Cricetulus griseus: one gene and its partner. The protein of the gene in region 1 interacts with the protein of each later gene in a biochemical or structural test. Links are inferred from orthologs where the notes say so. Each region holds a gene or a part of one and is shown in the gene's direction. Other genes may lie near its edges. The genes, in order: Ube2b and Rnf40.

Region 1 (4,481 bases):
AAGAGCAGGATTGGTATGGCTGGATGGCAAATTAATAATTTTAAAAAGGCAAGGCACTTGTTACCCATGCTAGCTACTCAAAGGGGGCTGCAGGCCAGCCTAGGGAACTCAAGGAGACTGTCTCACTGTTTTTCCCAGAGACAGTTTCTCTCCATGCAGTTCAATGTGGCACGGGATTTGCAATCCTCCTGCCACCACCTCTATCATGCTGAGGTTGTGCTCAGCATGTCATACCCGGCTCAATAAATATTTAAAGGGCCGTGTAAGGCCCTGGGGTTCTATCGCACACCTCAAAAAGGAGAAAAGAACACTTAACCTTTAACTTAGTCGCATTGTGAGTGCACAGCAGCGGCTAGGGGGAGTTAGACCTACCTAACAATCCTCAAGGTTACTTTCTTTACGGTGGTGGGGGCGGGGAAGATGAGACGTCCTCAGGCTGCCCAGGGTGGCCACCATTCCACTGTCACTGAGGCTACCTTTAAACTCCTGATCCTTTCCACTACCTGAACGGTGGGATTAGCAGAATGCACCAAGTCATCGGGTTCTCAAGGTTACTTTAAATGAAGAGAAAATTCAGAGTTTGAAGACAGTGGCAAACGTAAACCGTTCCTGGTTTCATGGAAATATAGGCAGGAGTGAAGCGGTGGATTCTCATTCCTTTCCTCCTTCTACAGCTAAGAATTCCGCGTCTACTAAAATGTTCGGTACCGTAGAGTAGCAAACTGGAACTAGAAACGGAGGGTGGGTATTCTGTGACTCGGAAAAGGAGAAGCCTGCAGGGTCAAGGCTTTTGAACTGCTGCACGACCGGGTTCTTCCTGTCCTTTTGCACTCTCCTTGCAATTATTTCAAAACCCATAATGAGTTATCTTAAGACTCAAGAAATACCTCCCACTCATGTCTGCTCGATCTCTCCCCGATCTGAATCATTTTTGAAGGTTTCTTTGACGACCAGCAGCCCATTGATATGCTCTAAAGTCACACCTCCACATTGTGCCTCAAACGCAGGCAGATTCAGATCCCAACTAAGGAAAGTTCTGTGCAGTCTTTAAGGGCTATTCCAGTCTCATCTCCGTATCCCACTAGCACCAACAGGCTACTGGTCCCAGTGACCGAGAGCCCATCTCATCTGCGCCGACCTTAGCATTCAAAGCTGTTTATTGTAAGTCTACGCGACCCTTTCAGTACCTGCTCCACGTACCAGAGTTGCTAAGTCACTTGAAACAGAATTAAATCCAGATTTTTTTTTGTTCCGTTTTAAAGACTTAGAACGCAAGCGGCTCCTTCCACAACGTCTCCTTAGGCAAAGTCCTTATACTTGGGGCCAAAAGAACAAGGTATAACTAGAGGTGTCAAGCCCAGAAACTCAACGACCTGCCTCCTTAGACCCCAAACCAAGAGCGAGTCGACGCTGTCACGTGACCTGTTCTAATGGCGTCACAGGAACACGTGGTTCTAGATACTTCGCTCCCTCCCCCTCAGGGGTGGATTGTTGACAACGCCGCCAGTGGTCACGTGACCTGACGTCATCCCACCTCCTCTCCCTGAAATCTCAGGCTCCGGATGCGTCCGTCTCTCCCCGTCCGGCCGAACCTGAAACTAGCAACGGGGGGAGAGAGTCGAGGTAGCATGTGGCCTCCAGCGGCCTTGACCCTGCGGTGTCCAGCGTGAGCAGGGAGCGGAGTCTGCCCAGCTCCCCACAGGAAGACGGCCCGGAAGACGGCCCCTTGCGCCGGCCGGTGCCGCGCGCGCGCCCGCTCGCCCCGCCCCTTCCCCCCTCCTCCCGCGGTGGTACTGGCGGAGGGCGGAGGGATCTGGAGGCGGCGGAGGGAGACGTCATTGCAGGGTTGTTTGTGCAGTCTCGGCGGCGGCGGCGACCCACAGTGATTCGGCCGCTGCGCCGGGGGGTGGGGGGGCCGAACGGGACTCTTTTCTTTCAGACTGACCGCGGGGCAGCTGCGGAGCATGTCGACCCCGGCCCGTAGGAGGCTCATGCGGGATTTCAAGCGGTAAGGGCCCTCGCCTTAGTCCAATATGACGGCTCCTTCCCGAATCCGTAGGACTGCAGGGCGGGGATCCGGGACCTATTCCCCTGTTGACCCTGAGGGGGTGGACTGTGGGCCTCCGGCATCCGCGGCAGTCCCGGTTTACCGGCGGCTCCCACTCCTCCCTCGCCTGGTACCTCCTTTTGAGTAAAGATGGTTGGTACTACTGCCCCCTGCCCTTCCCCCAAAGAAGTAAGAAGGCCATCGCTGGGCCTAGGTGTCCCCAAGGCCCACCTAGGCCAGCTGTCGCCGCCTCATCTCCTGCCTCTGTGCCCTGCGGCGTCCCCTCCCCAGCCGGTGCGAGTGAGCTCCGCTTGAGGCTGGGGCTTCGCTTGGCAGACCAGTCCAGCTTTGTTAGAGCGCCCCGCGGCCTCCCGTTTGGATTGGGGTTAGGGTGAATATTGCCCCATGTCCCTTCCCTTTCTGCAGTGATGAGGGTGGGGTCTGCTGCGCGAGGGCCGGAGGTGGTTAGCCCATCCCCCGAAACCCGATTCTGCCCCCGCCCACCTGGAAGGACCTTGAGAACTGGCTCGGGAAACCTGGGCCAGGAGATGGTCACTCGTGCTGCCAATGCCTTCTGGAACTGAGATCTGGCTGCCGAATAAAAGCCTATCTATAGCCTCCCTAGCCTGGAAAAATGCCTTCCGTCAGCCTGATGCTAATCTGATACTCCACCTGGGCGTTCTTTTGGAAAATAGTGGTTTGTTGGGAAATACGGGGCTTGGAGGAAGAAAATGACCTTTTCCCTCTTCCAATTGTTTGTCTTTCTTTGGAAACGTACAAGTGCAGAAACTACCTGAAGTCCAGCGTCCAGATAGTCTTGTTTTCTTTTGGGGGCAGACTTGCCGTGATTGAGACAAATCTGTAATATAGAAACTTAGATTTGCCGCTCAGGAAGTAACCTCTTAACTTCGCCATTATAGAGCCCTGTGTGAAGCATTTAGAAGCCATTGTCTTGGACCCTAGACATTATTTAATTCATTTGTTGATGCTTTTGGCCACTTAAAAGTGGGGAGTCAAGCAGTAAGTAGTACTTCCTGTAAACCCTATCAGCGGCCTAATCTGCTTGAGAGTGACCAAACAGTACACTTTTTATGTGGACTTGATTGCCAAGTGTCCTACCATCTGAAAATAACATATTTCATTTGTGTGTGTGTGTGTGTGTGTGTGTGTGTGTGTGTGTGTGTGTGTGTGTGTGTGTGAGAGGGAGAGGTAGAGGTTTTGTTTTTGTTTTTTAATCTGACAGGAAAGGATGCCCTTTTTTGGTGCAAAAGTCACCCAGGGCTTGAAGTCACCTTATTTGATTAGCTCCATGACTGAAACGCAAATAAAACTTCCCAGTTATATCCATTGTTATCTCTTGCTCGTTTTTTTGCAATTCTTTTATTTGATTTTAAGTTGGTAGTTTTCCAAGGATCTTCAGGTTACAAGAATTTGATGATGACGTCTGTTGGAAGCTCTGTGAAGTCCTGGTCTGAGGTAGATTTGGCCTTTGAACAGCTTTTAAAATTGGCTGCTTGGAAAACTAGCAGGAGCTTCCGGCTACTTTAGAAAGCCACTGTCTGAAGCACAGGGCACGAAATAAAACTTGCTTTCTAGTTAAATTGAATGTGGTTTTTAGTCATTTAGAGTATACAGAGATTGACTACAATTCTGTGTTGTGCAGTGTCTGTGGTTAGGACTGGTGATCCTTGCATGGTTGAGGTAGGAAATTTGCAGGTTCTCCCTTTTTCTTTGTTTTTTTGTTTGTTTGTTTTTGTTTTTCAAGACAGGGTTTCTCTATGTAGCTCTGACTGTCCTAGAACCCACTATGTAGGCCAGGCTGGCCTCCAACTCACAAGATATCCACCTGCCTCTGCCTCCTGAGTGATAGTTTTCTAAGGCATATGCCATCACCACCCAGCACAAGTTGCTGGTTGTCTAGCCATATTTTTTACTGCTAAGATTATAACTCTTCAGTGGGTTAAGAGTGCAGTCTGGAAACATGGGTCTTCAAGAGACCACATCTTAAATCTTGTGGTTTGAAGAGGGATGATCTCTTAGCCCTTTGGACTTAGAGATCACTTGTACTATTAATAAGTTTATTAACCTGGTTGATTCATTTAAGTTGTGGTTCATTCTGGCTCCATCGATAACAAGAAAGTCAATCTAGCCAGTCTTTCAGAATAGGTTCAGTAGAATTTGACCTTGGTGACCTTTATGTTAACTCTGAAAATGACCACTCTGGATTTCTAGATTGCAAGAGGACCCACCCGTGGGGGTCAGTGGTGCACCATCTGAAAACAACATCATGCAATGGAACGCAGTTATATTTGGGTGAGTTGAAATAGTTACCGGATGACAGGTGTGTGGGGACTCCGGAAGAAAAGTAAGTATATAAGCACTAAGGAAAGAGACTGAGGGAGAATCTGAAACTCACTGGGTGGGGTGGAGGTGG
Region 2 (3,806 bases), on another chromosome or scaffold:
GTAGCACACGCCTTTAATCCCAGCACTCAGGAGGCAGAGGCAGGCAGATCTCTGTGAGTTCGAGGCCAGCCTGGTCTACAGATCGAGTGCCAGGATAGGCTCCAAAGCTACACAGAGAAACCCTGTCTCAAAAAACCCAAAAATAAATAAACAAATAAATAAATAAGTGTTTTGCTTGTATATATGCATGTGCAGCACAGTTTGCCTAGTGCCTACAGAGACCAGAAGAGGGTGTTGCATCCCCTGGGACTAGAGATACAGAGGGTTGTGAGCAGTTATATGGGTTGGAAATCAAACACAGGTCCTTTGGAAGAGCAACCAGTGTTCTTAACTGCTGAGCCATCTCTCTATCAAGGTGTCAGAATGTAGGCTTGGGTAGCCTGGGACTCACTATATAGACCAGGTTGGCCTCCAGTGTAAGTCATCCACAAGCCCTTGCTTCCTGAGTGCTGGGATTAAAGGCATACACCATGATGCTTGGTGTATTTATCTATCTTACGTTCGATTACTGGAGTCCTTTTTTTCTGGAGAGATAGAAGATTAAGTGACCAGTGCTAGCTTTATTTCTTTCTTTTTTCTTTTTGAGACAAGGTTTCTCTGTGTATCTCTGGCTGTCCTGGAACTCACCTTGTAGACCAGGTTGGCCTTGAATTCAGCTTGTGCCTCCCAAGTTTTGGGATTAAAGGCATGTGCCACCTCCGTCTGCCAGCTTTATTTCTTTGTAAGCAAAAATTAGGTCTTTTCATTAGTATGGGGGTAGGATTCTCATACGGTTGTGTCTTTAAATGCCTCGACCCACAGAGTGATGAATTGGGGCTGCAGAAGAAACTGCGCACAGAAGTGATCCAGTTGGAGGATACCCTGGCCCAGGTACGAAAGGAGTATGAGATGCTGCGCATTGAGTTTGAACAGAACCTTGCGGCCAACGAGCAGGCTGGTACGTGGTGGGATTGGGTAGAGATAAGCCTAGAAGGGTGCTGGAACCTTGCGGCTGCTTATCTAGATTTAATGAGGAGCTTTTCTCCGAGTCTCCATTGGCCACAGAAAACAGGCACTACACTCACTACCTGTGTCACTCCCAGTGTCATAGCAGCTGGGATGGGAAGTTGAGCAGGTGTCACCAGACTGTGAGCTGGTCTAACCTCTGAGAGATTTGTCTCACAAAGATTTATTGAGTACTCCCTGTGAGCCACACTCAATGCTAGGTTTTGGGGTTCTGCCAATAAATGAAGAATCTCTGCTGTTGTGGAGTGACTCTAGTAAACTCTAGGGTGATAGACGACAATAAAAGAAAAACCATGGAAGATTCCTGTAGAGGTGAAGCAGGGACACATCAAGATGCTTGTACAGCCTTTAATCCCAGCGCTCAGATGGCAGAGGCAGTGGATGTCTCTGAGTTTAAGGCCAACCTGGTCTACAAAGTAAGTTCCAGGCCAGGTAGGGTGTATAGGCAAAACACATGAAATAAAAATGAATCTTTTAAAAAAAGGTATTGTTCCTCCCCACCCCCATCCCTTCCGCAGCTGAAAAGATATCTCAGTAGTTAAAGAACATTGACTACAGCCAGGCGGTAGTGGCGCACAGCTTTAATCCCAGCTTTTGGGAGGCAGATATCTGAGTTTGAGGCCTACCTGGTCTACAGACTGAGTTCCAAGGTAGCCAGGGCTACACAGAGAAACCCTGTCTCTGGGAGTTGAAGTCAGGGAAGGTTGGGGTGGGGAAGAACACTGACTGCCCTTCCAGAGGACTCAGATTTTATCCCAATACCCACAATTCTCAGCAGTCCGAAGTCCTTTTCTGGCCTCTGGGGGCACTACAGTACACATACATTGTGCACAGACATACATGTAAGTAAAACACACATAACAGGATTAAAGCCTAATGCTTATGTGTATAAGTATTTCGCTTTCGTGCATGTGTCTGTGCACCTCATTGCATGTGTGCCTGGTGCTCACAGAGGCCAGAAGGCACCAGATCACCTGGAACTGTGAGCTGCCACGTGAGTGGCAGAATTTCCCTTTCTGTACAATGGGAGTATGGGCTCTGCTTGGCTTCTTTCCCTTCTGGGGAGTTGGAGAGTTAGGAGGAGATCGTCCTACATACCCACTTTCTGACTTTTTCTCAGGGCCTATCAACCGTGAGATGCGCCATCTGATTAGCAGTCTCCAGAATCATAATCACCAGCTAAAAGGGGATGCCCAGCGATATAAGCGGAAACTTCGAGAAGTACAGGCTGAGATTGGCAAAGTAAGGAGAGGGAGCTGCCTGGGGAAAGCCTTCGCTAGATCTTAGTGGGCAGTGGCTCACCTCATTCCTATTTTTCTCTGTCTGTACAGCTCCGGGCCCAGGCCAGTGGCTCTTCCCACTGCATCCCCAGCCTGAGCCACCCAGATGACTCTGGCCTCAATGCCCTAGCCCCAGGGAAAGAAGATGGTGGGCCAGGCCCTGGAGGTACTCCTGACAGCAAAAAGGAGATAGCTGCAGTGCCTGGAGCCACCCCTGCTGCTTCTTCAGTAAAGAAGGAGGAGCTGGTCTCCTCTGAAGATGATGCCCTGGCCCTAACCCCTGGAAACCAGGGCTTGCCCTCTCGAGGCCGAGAACCTGAGGCCAGACCCAAGCGAGAACTTCGGGAACGGGAAGGGCCTGTCCTGGGGCCCCCACCTGTAGCCTCAGCTCTCTCAAGGGCTGATCGAGAAAAGGCCAAGGTTGAGGAAGCAAAGAGGAAAGAGTCAGAACTGCTCAAGGGTCTTCGAGCAGAGCTCAAGTGAGGCCCTATTGCTGTCTCCTCCCCTGTCAAGTAGCTTTCAGTTCTTCTTACTAAGATCCCCTTCTGTACCCTTCTCTAGGAAGGCCCAGGAGAGTCAGAAGGAGATGAAGCTGCTGCTGGACATGTACAAGTCTGCACCCAAGGAACAGCGGGATAAGGTGCAGCTGATGGCAGCTGAACGGAAGGCCAAGGCTGAGGTAAGGGCCAGGGGCGGGGCATGCACAGTCTCGCCCAGGGACTTCAGAGCCTTGGGGTCAGCAAGTTTGCTGCTTTTTGAATTCTGTCACTATGCAAAGCAAGCTAGTAGTGGTGTCGCTGTGCGGACGGACCAATGTTTGAGAGCTTCCCTCCCATGAATGCAGGTGGATGAGCTTCGGGGCCGCATCCGAGAACTGGAGGAAAGAGATCGAAGAGAAAGCAAGAAGATTGCAGATGAGGATGCCCTGAGACGAATCCGGCAGGCAGAGGAGCAGATAGAACACCTGCAACGCAAATTGGGTGCCACTAAGCAGGTGAGATTCCCTTCTTGCTTGTGGTTGCTGGTTAAGTGCCTTTAGTGTGTGACATTTTGATGGTCTGGGTACATACTATTTTCTTGGGAGTTCCCAGCAGCCATCTTGTTAATCTGCCACTTTCTATCTTTCCTTCCTTCCCCCTTGCAGGAGGAAGAGGCACTGCTGTCAGAGATGGATGTGACAGGCCAGGCTTTTGAAGACATGCAGGAGCAAAATGGGCGGCTGCTGCAGCAGTTGCGGGAAAAGGATGACGCCAACTTTAAACTCATGTCAGAGCGGATCAAGGCCAACCAGATTCACAAGCTGCTCCGAGAGGAGAAGGATGAGTTGGGCGAGCAGGTTCTTGGCCTCAAGTCTCAGGTATGGCAGCTATGGTGTGACACTTGTGGATGAAGCTGGAGAGGTTGCACCCAGTACTGAGGCCTCCCATCCGCAGGTGGATGCCCAGCTGCTGACAGTGCAGAAGCTTGAGGAAAAGGAGCGGGCTCTGCAGGGCAGCCTTGGGGGTGTGGAGAAGGAGTTGA

Evidence for each region.
Region 2: the proteins of Ube2b (region 1) and Rnf40 form a complex in vitro, tested with the Homo sapiens proteins (3 studies listed by BioGRID). The link is inferred for Cricetulus griseus from reciprocal best matches to the Homo sapiens genes UBE2B and RNF40.

Annotation. Positions count from the first base shown.
Region 1 is NC_048600.1:66,264,572-66,269,052, reverse strand, and holds the start of Ube2b (ubiquitin-conjugating enzyme E2 B), read left to right. Parts: upstream 1-1,545; 5' UTR 1,546-1,623; intron 1,624-1,939; 5' UTR 1,940-1,964; coding exon 1,965-2,008; intron 2,009-4,279; coding exon 4,280-4,360; intron 4,361-4,481. UniProt on the Homo sapiens protein: E2 ubiquitin-conjugating enzyme that accepts ubiquitin from the ubiquitin-activating enzyme E1 and transfers it to a E3 ubiquitin-protein ligase. In vitro catalyzes 'Lys-11'-, as well as 'Lys-48'- and 'Lys-63'-linked polyubiquitination.
Region 2 is NC_048596.1:73,159,176-73,162,981, reverse strand, and holds part of Rnf40 (E3 ubiquitin-protein ligase BRE1B), read left to right. Parts: intron 1-801; coding exon 802-937; intron 938-2,125; coding exon 2,126-2,247; intron 2,248-2,336; coding exon 2,337-2,764; intron 2,765-2,846; coding exon 2,847-2,964; intron 2,965-3,129; coding exon 3,130-3,279; intron 3,280-3,429; coding exon 3,430-3,642; intron 3,643-3,718; coding exon 3,719-3,806.